3 linked regions of the Xenopus tropicalis genome follow. The protein of the gene in region 3 purifies or fractionates together with the protein of the main gene of each other region. This does not show direct contact. Links are inferred from orthologs where the notes say so. Each region holds a gene or a part of one and is shown on either strand. Other genes may lie near its edges. The genes, in order: stx6, vamp4 and vti1a.

Region 1 (4,253 bases), on a different chromosome or scaffold from region 3:
GCGTAAAAAGGATATTAATTGTTTCATCCAGGTCTTCCAGATCCCATTCGATACTCCTAAGGTTGTTGCGCAATTCATTGGTTGTCCAGTCCAGTTCTTCTCGTGTAGAAATAGAAGGATCCTGCAAAAGATCTGTCCATCGCTGAAACAGGCCCTGGGCAGTGTTCACCGCTTTTTGTACTTCCCTTTAACAAAAGATCAGGTGATAGTTACTGGAAAAAGCAGATGTAGGTCATCTGCGACATTGTAATTCTTCAGAATTTTAACATTAGTGTTAAACCGTCAAAGGGCAATAAAGACCAACAATTCTGTGGTAATGTGTCTCTCTCTTGCACAGGATTGGTGTACGCTTTTCCATGTGTAACAGTCACACACTGCACAAGCCTTGGCTAAGCTTCCTTGCAGCTGGATCCACCCCTGTCACCATTCACTATGCGCATAACCAATGCAAAAACAGAATCTTACTTAATTTAATGCTTGGCAGGGACCACAGGGACTGCCTAGGGGGTCAACAATTGCCAGGCAGGACATCAAAGTATATGGAAGCTCTGAATCTAAAGATATTCTGTCTATTGCAATGAAAACTCTTCTCCTGTATGAGAAATGCCAAGGAATTGGCCTGTAAAAGTGGAGGCCCGCTAGCCAAAGGATTATATGACCCTCAGTTAGCTCAAAGGTTTCATATACTTCATTATACAACATCATAATTTTAATTTAATCTGGTCCTCAAACATGCTGTATAAGAAATAATTGGCCCACGTCATTTAATTGGATGGCACTGTTGTAGAGCTTGTGGCTTTTTGTTTGTTTTTAGATATTAACAGCAACAAACTTTTCTCGAGTGTAACTGCAGCAAGTCCAGAATTCTAGACAACTCTTGGGAATCCATTCAAGCACATAATGATGTTCCCGTTGGTTTGAATGTAGCTTGGAATTATAGCTCTGAATGAATATGATGAAGATATCAGCATAAAAACACGAGAAAAATATGCATTTTTTTCAGTACCACATATTCATACCAAATGTTCCGCCTAATCCATGATTTTTTAAAATGCTATTGGTGTGATGTGTATTCAGGCACGAGAGTAATGCCACACGGGCTGATCTCAGCCTGCAGAAAAGCACAGGCCAAGAATCAGCCCCAATGCTGACATTAGCTTTCTTCTTTGCCTGCACACAGAACTATTGTGTCAGAATGACGGATATTCACTGCAAAATGCAAACTATAGGGTGGTTGGGCGCCGATATATCCACTGCGTGTGCCTGGACCCGGGTAAATGCAATCGTTCTGGCTGCAGACAAAGATCAGCCCCCATGTGGCATTAGCCTATTGGCAATGGAGCTACTTGCAGTGGCTACAAAATAGCCAATATTAATAACTGTCTGTTCGTGTGTTTTAGCAGAGACAGTTCTTAGCATTGTCTATGGTAGGGTATTTTCTGGCATTTTGTAGCCGTGACACTGGAAAACCGAAGCAATGCATATGCCATCCCACCGGCAATTTACATCCTTGCCTGTGAGATGCCATTTTGGGACATAAGTTGCCCATGGTAGCAAAGCTTTATCGCGGGCGACTAATCATCCTGTCTGCCACCTCCCTAAGATGGAAACTAGGCCCCAGCATGTTTTCAAGTATACAATAGCGATAAACGATAGTATACGATGGTATTTAGCCTCCCACTTATCCAATACGTGATAAGTATGTTTACCTTCTAACAAGTATTAGCTACTAGTCTCCTTGTGTGTAATTAAGTGCTGGGCTCCAGCTACACACTGTGACCTGCCAACCAGCATGGCTCTATCTGATGCAACAAGTTCCAGAGTTCAAACAAGTGAGGTAAGAAGACATGCAGGCGGGCCAGTCAGTGCCAGGTGCCATGACTCTAGGGTTCATTAGAATGTGCCACTGGTGTGACTGTAAATAGATACCACAAAGGGTCATAAAAATGCACCACCATATTGGCAACAAGGCTAAGCACTTTCTGTGTGAAGTTTCTATGTTTACCAGGTTTATTCCCACACTCCAAAAACGAAAAGGGGGAGCTGGAGCTGTGTAGCAGTCAAGTACTGGCAGTGTGCTTTTACCCGTGCTTGTGATGCAGCCTCATCTATCAAAGTAAACTGTACAGTTGCTTGCTAGTGATTATTATTATTTCAGCTTTCTGAAGTTCAACTCTGCAAAAACAACGCCCTAAGTTTGCCAATAGCCTGTACAGAGAAATACCATAAAATATAAAACTATGGCAGCATAGGGATTCCCCTGTACTAAGCACAATTCAGCAGGAACAGCCCCCTAAGCTTGCTTATAGCTTGTGCTGAGAAATACCATAAAACTATTCCAGCATATGTTTGTACTATCCGTCAGGAATTTTTCAGGTTAGTTCTCCTTTAAAAATACAATCCAAGTGTCTACTCACTGGGAACATTGTGTCTGTGCAGTCTATGCAAAAGTAAGGTGATTTAATAAAAAAAATGTAATGCATGCGAGTAGGATGCAGTGCACACATTAGTACACTAGTCCTTAAAAGTTGCACAAAATACATTTTTTGAGCACACGGACTAAAATAAATTATGGGGAACATTGACCACAACCCTGATAGCAGAATTGCAGGCAGCCATGTTTGTACTGGCAGGATAGCAGAACAGCGCTCCATCCCACACATTCATACTCACTGCCTGCCCGAGTCCCGTTATCTCTGAGCATTGTCCCCAGGACTGTACTTACCCTCTCACAACGAAGAACGGATCTTCCATCGACATCTTTCCGCTCCCACTGGCACTACCTGTGCCTACCCTAGGGTTAACCGATACTTCCCAGAGCCTCCTTGTTCCCTATTATTCAGTGTACCATAGAACACAAAGCATGCCCCTCCCGTCAAAAGCGTCACATCCGGCACTCAGTTCTCTGTACCAGCTGACAGGAAACAGGAGAAATCACAGTACAACGATGCATTGTTTTGTTTATCTCGCAGATCTCAATGTGTTGTTACACCCACGTTACCAGTCCCTAAGTGTGAGCGTACAAAACCTTTTAGGTGAGGGCAAACAAGCAAAGCTTCTCTCTTATTTGTGCAGATACTGGAGGGGGAGGGGCGACAAGCTGTACTGTCCAGAGAGGGCTGGTGCTGTGCCTTTACCTGCGCTTGTGATGTAGCCTCCCAACCACATGGCTAGGTACCTTTTCTGCCCTATTATATTACACAGAATGCTCTGTAGCATTGTCACATTGTCCATAGCAACCATTTCATTTAGCACGTTCTGCTCTTGTGGGACCGAGCTCTGTAACAGAATTCTAGAGCTCTCATATGTTCTGTAACAGTGCTAGTTATTAGAGTTTGAGTATTTCCATCTATTGATATTCTTATAGAACCATCAGAACTGCCTTAATACTTTTAACTTTAATTATATACAGATTTGTGAAAAATGTATATATTTATATTGTTGCTTAGCCTTTTGTTTATGTTTTGGAAATGAAAAAGAGCAGCTGTGGTTTCAAAGATGGCATACATAGATCTTAGTATCTGAGATCACGAGTAAGAATGGCTGAGGACCCCTGCCCTATAGTATATCTCTTAGTGTCTCCTGAATTATTTGTCTATCCAATGAACTACATAACACAGTCCTATACAGTTCTTACATTATTGTCAAGCCGTATTGCACTTGCAAGATGTTATAGTCTCCTTGCTATGCTCACAGCACATATGACACCCACAATTGCTCCTAAAGTGCTTGGTGCAGCTAAATAATGTATTTCTGTCCTCAGCAAATTGCTCCTACAGTGCATCAAACCAACTTCTATTGCCATGCACCATTATGGTTATGTCCCTGCAGTACAGTTTTCAGTTTCTGTTACCAGTCGTTACCAACGTTGCCCATGTTGGTTTCAGCCACAATAAAACTGAGATTACACAGTTCCACTAAACATCATACCCATGAAGGAAATGTCTGCAATGTCTTCTGCAACGCCCACCCTAAAGGCCCCTTATCAATTCACAAACTTTTTTTTATGCCCTGAAACATACTTACTTATGTTGGACATGTAAGGAGTCCTGTAGTTTAAAGTAAAGGTGGCCATACACAGGCCGATAAAAGCTGTCAGCAGCTTACAAACAGGTTTAAAAATCCCGTCGGGATGAGGAGTGCATTGACTCATGGATATGAGTCCCAATGGCCTGTATCCTGTGATCCAATTGGATCTATCTAGAATCAACAACTTCAAGGTGGGCATATTGGGGGAAAGATTAGCTATAACA
Region 2 (3,649 bases), on a different chromosome or scaffold from region 3:
TAGATTTATTTATATTGAAGATAACAAAAAATCTATTTGTATACCTTTTAGTTTACTTTAACGTATTATACAAGCACTTGGACAAATTTGTATAATCTAAAAAACATACCAGATAATTAGCACTAGCCCCAACCGGTCTGATAATTTAATCAACTTTTGTACTTGAATTTTAATATGGAATATGAATAAAAGTGACAGCATTTCCATTTAAAAAAAACACACACACAAAGAATATGGTTTATTAATCTTTGGCAATCTTTTAAAACTTTTCATGACAGTCACCCATTGTAAGCAATAAAACACCATGACGACATTCTAATAGATCTCACTGAACAGGGTATGAAATATTTCTAGAGGTTATGGTGATTTATCCTCAATGTGGTTTTTGCATCATGTCAGACACATCAGAGCAAATTAAAGGGGTTGTCAACTCAAAATGAATAGTGAAAGAAAATATAATTCTAAGCAACTTTCCAGTATACATTCAATTAGAAAAACTACTTGTGAATGTTACTGTTATTAAATATTGTATCTTGCTGCCTGGCTGTTTATATTCTCTGCAGTGGGGGCTCTAAATCTACACAACTTTGAAAGGCAGCTGACTAAAAGACCAGATGAGAAAGACCTGTTACATTATTTTAAAAAGCATACTCAGGGATCAAAAAGGGATAAAAAAAAAAAAAGAACAGGACAAAACACCGGTTTAAATTGCAACTACCTTTACCAGCCACAAAAATGCTTTATGGATCTTCGTCTTCTTAAGACAGACTTTTTGTCCTGCACACACTGTAAGGAGAGCCCCACTAGCACCCACTTCCCATAAACAAATTATTTACCTTCACAGACTTAGATGCCGACATGACTCGGCTATGTGTAAGCTTTCATTTGTTTTGCTTTTTCCTCCCACGCCTTTTTTGGATTTTGTTCCAGGATGTATTACTTAAATGTATGCTCCATTACAGTAACGGTATGGGTAGGGTCAACTGAACACACATTTTCCTCAAAGGGGTGGTTCACTTTCAGGTTAACTTTTAGTATGTTATAGAATGGCCTATTCTTAGCAACTTTTCAATTTATCTTCATTTTTTATAGCCTTTGAATGATTTGCTTTCCTCTTCTAACTCTTTCCAACTTTTAAAATCAAAAAGCTATTCATCTGTGAGGCTACAATTTTATTTCTATTGTTACTTTACTTTGTAATTTATAACTTATTTTTTTATTTAGGCCCTCTTCGATTCATATTCCTCTTTCAAACCACTGTCTGGTTGCTGGGTTAAATTGGACCATAGCAACCAGATAGCTGCTGAAATTCCCAAACTGGAAAGCCGCTGAACAAAACACGAAATAATTAAAAAAAACACAAATAATAAAAACTTGCAAGACCAATTGCAAATTGTCTCAGAGTAGCATCCTCTACATCAGTGATCCCCAACCAGTGGCTCAGGGGTCACATGTTGCTCCCCAACCCCTTGGATGTTGCTCTCTGCACCCCCAAACCAGGTAGTTATTTTTAAATTCCTGACTTGGGGGCAAGTTTTGGTTAAATAAAAACAATATTTCCTACCAAATAAAGCCCCCTGTAAGCTGATAGTGTGCATAGAGGCCCCTAATAGCCAATCTTAGCCCTTATTTGGCTCCTCCATGAACTTTTCTCCAAGTCTTTTAACATTTGACTGTGGCTCACAAGCAAGAAAGGTTTGGGAATCCCTGCTCTACATCATACTAAAAGTTAATTTAAAGGCGAACAACCCCTTTAAAACCAGTTCTACTTACAAAGATAATTACTCTAGAACACTGATTTTTTTTTTTATTATTTATCAAGTATAAAACCATGAAAAACTTTGCGATCTAAAAGCTGGCATGGTCATATTGAAGTCAATGGGAGTTGTCCTTATCAAATTGTATTTCTTTTGTATTCCTATTTAATCCACGTTTTTGTTTTTAGATTTTTTTTTAATAAATAAGGGATCTTTATTTTTAAAAATGTGAGTTTAGTCAAGGTTGAAAAAAAACCTCTAAAATTACACAAATCCGAGTGTCCTTGTTGATGTAGTATACTAAAAGATTGTAGATGTAAAAGATTGTAATGTACCTGGAATTGCCACAAATCACTGCATCACTTCCCAGTTTAGATATAGGGGTTACTGTGATATTACTAATCTATCATTCCTGACTAGTACCATATGCCTAATAATTAGAGATGCACCCAATCCATTTTATTCGAATTCAGCCGAACCCCGAATCCTTCGTAAAAGATTCGGCCAAATACCAAACCAAATCCAAATGTGCATATGCAAATTAGGTTTGCACAGTAAACGTAAACGTGTTTACGTGACAAAAAGTCACATGGTTTTTAGGATTCGAATTTGGTTTGGCCAGGAGCGTGGATTTGGCTGAATCCCAAACTGAATCCTGGATTCGATGCATCCCTACGAATGAATCCAACTTAATATATTGGGAATAAATAAAAACGGTGATAATGAATTCATATTTTTTTGTTGCATATTGATTAATTATACTCCATTGTGACACAGTGACAATCAACTCACAGGACACAAACAAGATACTAGTAGATTATGCCCTATATGTTTTTTTTCTCTGTCAAAATACCCCCAAAAACACTACTGTCATGTATTTGAAAATTGTATCCAGCATACTGGCTTGCAGAATTGCCTCATCACTGGAACACTGGCCAATGCCAGGAAACAAATCTGAGATATATATATGACATGTTACTTTTTAGTTTACAAGATTTGTGCTGTAATTGTAATTATATATATTTATAAGACCATAAAAAAAAACTTACAGGAAGAAATCTTCTTCTTCATCTGAGTCTTCTTCCAACAGATTCCTCTGAAAATAAAAAAAAAGGATTAGAAATTTCTACTCTAATAAAAACAATGATATAGATGTATTGGAAACCATCTTTCAAAGTCAAAATAAACTCTCTAACAAAATATAGGATTTCTGATTTTCCCCATCAAGAATGGATTCATGCCTTGCTTTTGAGGAAGCCATCATTCTTTAGCCCATTGAAGGGGATGCACACTTTTGTAAGTGACTGCAATTTAATGGACCATCAGTTGCATTCATTTGGTTGGTGACTTGAGCTGACAGTTTCCTCTTAGAAAAACCATCATCTGTGATGTTATGTGGTTCACCCACCAATAAGTCTGCCTGCCCACCACCAGCCTAAACACTGACTGAACTCTGCTTTTTTCTGTTTGCCAATGGAAACATCATCTCTTTGTAGCCCTGGTCAATTAAATTCAGTATATACACTATTTTCTATTAACGTGACTTGGAAAACAAGCTGAGCATTCTACGTGATAGACAACATTGAATATAAAAAAAAAGACTTACCCTTTCACTTTTAACTGAACCTGTAACCTCCTCATCGTGGAGGTGCCTCTTGAACTTTGGAGGCATACTGGGTTTCCTTTGATGTGAATTTGTGTTTTATGACAATGATCAGTGAGGGCAATGTATTTGTATAGCAGTCAGCCTTTGCAGTAGAAAGAGAGAGAGAAAAAAAAAGATGTTATTAGAAAATCAAACTAGAACTATACTATATAACTATACTATAGTTTATACTATTAAGTCTAATGGCACAAGGGGCTGTTTTAGGTGTTTTGAACAATGCTTTTGT
Region 3 (4,204 bases):
TGGGGTTCTTGGCTACCACTAGCCCACATTGGGGCTCATTAGCTGGATGGGCGGCTCATTATGGTCTGGCAATTATGACCCTTTGGAATTACAGACTCTTTAGCCATTGGGCTCCCCAATATGTAAGTGCTGGGCCCTCTAATAACCTGAGTATTACATGTTCCCTGTATGGATAGGGCCACATTAGCCCAAGTAGGGTCAGATATTATATATATATATATACACACACACACATATATATTACTTACCAGTTCCCGGGCTTCCTCCAGCTGCTTCTCTACATTTAATATCATTTGCTTCTTTTCATCTGGAAATAAAACACAATAAAATAATATTACGTTACAGCCTGATGGAATGAGTGGCAGATATTCCCCCCTGTAGTCTCTGCAGGAATCCTGCCCTAACTGTGCTTAAAGGAGAAGTAAAGCCTAAACAAGGTTAGAGGTACCGCTATGGGCCCAGCCCCGCGCCTCCCCTTCCCTTACTAGATTGTCAGCTTTAGGCAGCAGGTCCCCCTTTATTAGCAGGTACCTGCGCAGGATCTGTATTTATACAGCACGATGCTGGGGATACTGGGGCAGTGTGGGCACTCGCTATATATACACTTTATAGTGATTATACATTATATTTACACTTTGGGAAAACCACAGGGACAGGGGAACTAGGGGCCCTTACCCACTGGGTTCCAGACCTCTTTTATGGGCCAACATTTACATGGGGCCCCCCCTACTCACAGGCTACAGGCCGAGGCAGTATTGGGGCACACAGGGTAATTATAGGGTGGGGCAGAATCAGGTCATCACATTTACACCCCCACCTGCCCTTTCTATCCTCATATCCCCTCCTCTCCCTCCCACACATCCACTTTCCTGCCCCCCCTGTGCCCCCTCCCATGTCTGCCCCCCTGTGCCCCCTCCCATGTCTGACCCCCTGTGCCCCCTCCCATGTCTGACCCCCTGTGCCCCTCCCATGTTGACCCCCTGTGCCCCCTCCCATGTCCTGACCCCTGTGCCCCCTCCCATGTCTGACCCCCTGTGCCCCCTCCCATGTCTGACCCCTGTGCCCCTCCCATGTCTGACCCCCTGTGCCCCTTCCATCTGACCCCCTGTGCCCCCTCCATGTCTGACCCCCTGTGCCCCCCTCCCATGTCTGACCCCTGTGCCCCTTCCCATGTCCTCCCCCTGTGCCCCTCCCATGTCTGCCCCCCTGTGCCCCCTCCCATGTCTGACCCCCTGTGCCCCCTCCCATGTTCTGACCCCCCTGTGCCCCTTCCATGTCTGACCCCCTGTGCCCCCCTCCTCATGTCTGACCCCCTGTGCCCCTTCCCATGTCTGACCCCCTGTGCCCCTTCCCATGTCTGACCCCTGTGCCCCTCCCATGTCTGACCCCTGTGCCCCTTCCCATGTCTGACCCCCTGTGCCCCCTCCCATGTCTGACCCATGTCTGACCCCCTGTGCCCATGTCTGCCCCCTCCCATGTCATGTCTGCCCCCCCTGTGCCCCTCCCTGCCCCCTGTGCCCCTTCCCATGTCTGACCCCCTGTGCCCCTCCCAGTCTGACCCCCTGTGCCCCCTCATGTGACCCCTGTGCCCCCCTGTGCCCCTCCCATGTCTGACCCCGTGCCCCTCCCATGTCTGACCCCTGTGCCCCTCCCATGTCTGACCCCCTGTGCCCCTTCCCTGTCTGACCCCTGTGCCCCTTCCATGTCTGACCCCCTGTGCCCCCTCCCATGTCTGACCCCCTGTGCCCCTTCCATGTCTGACCCCCTGTGCCCCCTCCCATGTCTGACCCCTGTGCCCATGTCTGACCCCTGTGCCCCCATGTCTGCCCCTATGTCTGTGTGCCCCCCCATGTGCCCCCTGTGCCCAACCCCTGTGCGTCTGACCCCTGCCCTCCCATGTCTGTGCCCACCCCTGTGCCCCTTCCATGTCTGACCCCCTGTGCCCCCTCCCATGTCTGACCCCCTGTGCCCCCTCCCATGTCTGCCCCCCTGCCCATGTCTGACCCCTGTGGTCTGCCCCCCTGTTGCCCCCTCCCATGTCTGACCCCTGTGCCCCTTCCCATGTCTGACCCCTGTGCCCCCTCCCATGTCTGACCCCCTGTGCCCATGTCTCCCCCCTGTGCCCCTCCCATGTCTGACCCCCTGTGCCCCCTTCCATGTCTGACCCCCTGTGCCCCCTCCCATGTCCCCCCCCTCCCATGTCTGCCCCCCTGTGCCCCTCCCATGTCTGACCCCTGTGCCCCTCCCATGTCTGACCCCCTGTGCCCCTCCATGTCTGACCCCTCTGTGCCCCCCTGCTGACCCCTGTGCCCATGTCTGACCCCCTGTGCCCCCTCCCATGTCTGCCCCCCTGTGCCCCTTCCCATGTCTGCCCCCTGTGCCCCCCATGTCTGCCCCCTGTGCCCCTCCCATGCCCCCTGTGCCCCTGTCCCCCCCTGTGCCCCCTCCCATGTCTGCCCCTGTGCCCCTCCCATGTCTGACCCCCTGTGCCCCTCCCATTGTCTGACCCCCTGTGCCCCCTCCATGTCTGACCCCTGTGCCCCTCCCATGTCTGACCCCCTGTGGCCCCCTCCCATGTCTCCCCACTAGCTTCCCGCCCCTGACACTTGTTATTCCCCCCCCCATACCCGCCCCTTGCCCCCCATACCCCACTCTCTTGCCCCCACCCCCGCCCCTCTCACCTCCCATGAGCCTGGGAACCTTCCCTATCCTGCCGGTAATCTCGGCGGTGAGCACCGCATAATCCTGCTCGTAACCCTCGAAGTCGGAAGACATGTTTAGCCAAAACAGTGGAGAGCTGATAACCGGAAGTCTTTTTTCCAACCACTTCCGCCGGTCCGAACCTTCAGCACTCCCCCGCGCCCTTAGCAACCAGCACTTCCTGGGTAACAGACCCGCCCCTGGGAGGAGCCTGTGTCACCACTTTATCATTGAGTGGGATCCGTCCCTCAGTGAGACCACGCCTTCCGGGGCGGGGCTTTCGTATTTACACGCTGTGTGGCTGAGATCTGCCGTCTATCAAGCTATGTCCCGCCCCTGGGAGGAGCCCAATGAGCCTTCCGCCCCTCCTTCTGCCCTTACACTTAGTGACTGGGGCAAATCCACCTGTTCTGCCCCAATACTGAGCCCCTAATGGGGGAAAGTCTTACCTTCAGCAGGTTCCCCGGCCCAGCACTTATTTACCTTCATTCCACCATGTCCTGAGGCTGCGGCCCAGTGATTGCAAGCTCTTTAGCCCAGCAAAGGCAATAATTAAGTCTTTATTATAAAATGTTAAATTTACAGTACAAAACTGCGGAATAGACTGTTGCTCAGGGCTGGGTTATAGGGTGAGGGCGTTTGTCCCCAGGATTGTCTGCATGGCGGAAGCAGCCCCCTGACTGTCAGTCATCTACAACTCCCAGCAACTCCCTGCCCCCTCCCAGCAACTCCCCGCCCCCTCCGCACTCCCCCCCCTCCCAGCCTCCCAGCCCTCCCAGCATCCCCGCCGCCCTCCCAGCAACTCCCCGCCCTCCCAGCAACTCCCAGCAACCCTCCAGCAGCAACTCCTGCCTCCCAGCAACTCCCCACCCCTCCCAGCAACTCCCAGCACCCTCCCAGCAACTCCCCGCCCCCTCCCAGCAACTCCCAGCCTCCCAGCAACTCCCTGCCCCCTCCCAGCAACTCCCAGCACCTCCCAGCAACTCCCCCCCCTCCCAGCAACTCCCCGCCCCTCCCAGCAATCCCACCCTCCAGCAACTTCCCGCACCCTCCCAGCAACTCCTCCCTCCCGCAACTCCAGCACCCTCCCAGCAACTCCCCGCCCCTCCCAGCAACTCCCCGCAGCCAGCAACTCCCGCACCTCCCAGCAACTCCCAGCACCCTCCCAGCAACTCCCAGCACCCTCCCAGCAACTCCCCGCCCCCTCCCAGCAACTCCCCGCACCCTCCCAGCAACTCCCCACCTCCCAGCAACTCCCCACACCTCCAGCAACTCCCCGCACCCTCCCAGCACCTCCCCACAACTCCCAACAGTCACATCTCTGAACTTTGTTACCTCCGACCATTTCCTCAGCACTCCCGGAGCCCCAACAATTCCCACAGCGCTGGGGCTTTATATATAAATGGGACTCAAACAGTGAAATGTCATCAATAAATCTGCAGTACTGTACAGTGCAGTACCATTCTATCTGCCCCTTGCCATTCCCATTCATAGCCCCACCATT

The links.
Region 1: the proteins of vti1a (region 3) and stx6 purify together in Homo sapiens (affinity purification with mass spectrometry; 3 studies listed by BioGRID and IntAct, counting the BioPlex papers as one, with this or other methods). This does not show direct contact. The link is inferred for Xenopus tropicalis from reciprocal best matches to the Homo sapiens genes VTI1A and STX6.
Region 2: the proteins of vti1a (region 3) and vamp4 purify together in Homo sapiens (affinity purification with mass spectrometry; 4 studies listed by BioGRID and IntAct, counting the BioPlex papers as one, with this or other methods). This does not show direct contact. The link is inferred for Xenopus tropicalis from reciprocal best matches to the Homo sapiens genes VTI1A and VAMP4.

The regions. Positions count from the first base shown.
Region 1 is NC_030680.2:100,853,794-100,858,046, reverse strand, and holds the start of stx6 (syntaxin-6), read right to left. Parts: upstream 2,831-4,253; 5' UTR 2,761-2,830; coding exon 2,726-2,760; intron 186-2,725; coding exon 16-185; intron 1-15. UniProt on the Homo sapiens protein: SNARE promoting movement of transport vesicles to target membranes. Targets endosomes to the trans-Golgi network, and may therefore function in retrograde trafficking.
Region 2 is NC_030680.2:107,505,518-107,509,166, reverse strand, and holds part of vamp4 (vesicle-associated membrane protein 4), read right to left. Parts: intron 3,506-3,649; 5' UTR 3,430-3,505; coding exon 3,364-3,429; intron 2,854-3,363; coding exon 2,807-2,853; intron 1-2,806. UniProt on the Homo sapiens protein: Involved in the pathway that functions to remove an inhibitor (probably synaptotagmin-4) of calcium-triggered exocytosis during the maturation of secretory granules.
Region 3 is NC_030683.2:3,543,971-3,548,174, forward strand, and holds the start of vti1a (vesicle transport through interaction with t-SNAREs homolog 1A), read right to left. Parts: upstream 2,917-4,204; 5' UTR 2,776-2,916; coding exon 2,682-2,775; intron 308-2,681; coding exon 249-307; intron 1-248. UniProt on the Homo sapiens protein: V-SNARE that mediates vesicle transport pathways through interactions with t-SNAREs on the target membrane. These interactions are proposed to mediate aspects of the specificity of vesicle trafficking and to promote fusion of the lipid bilayers.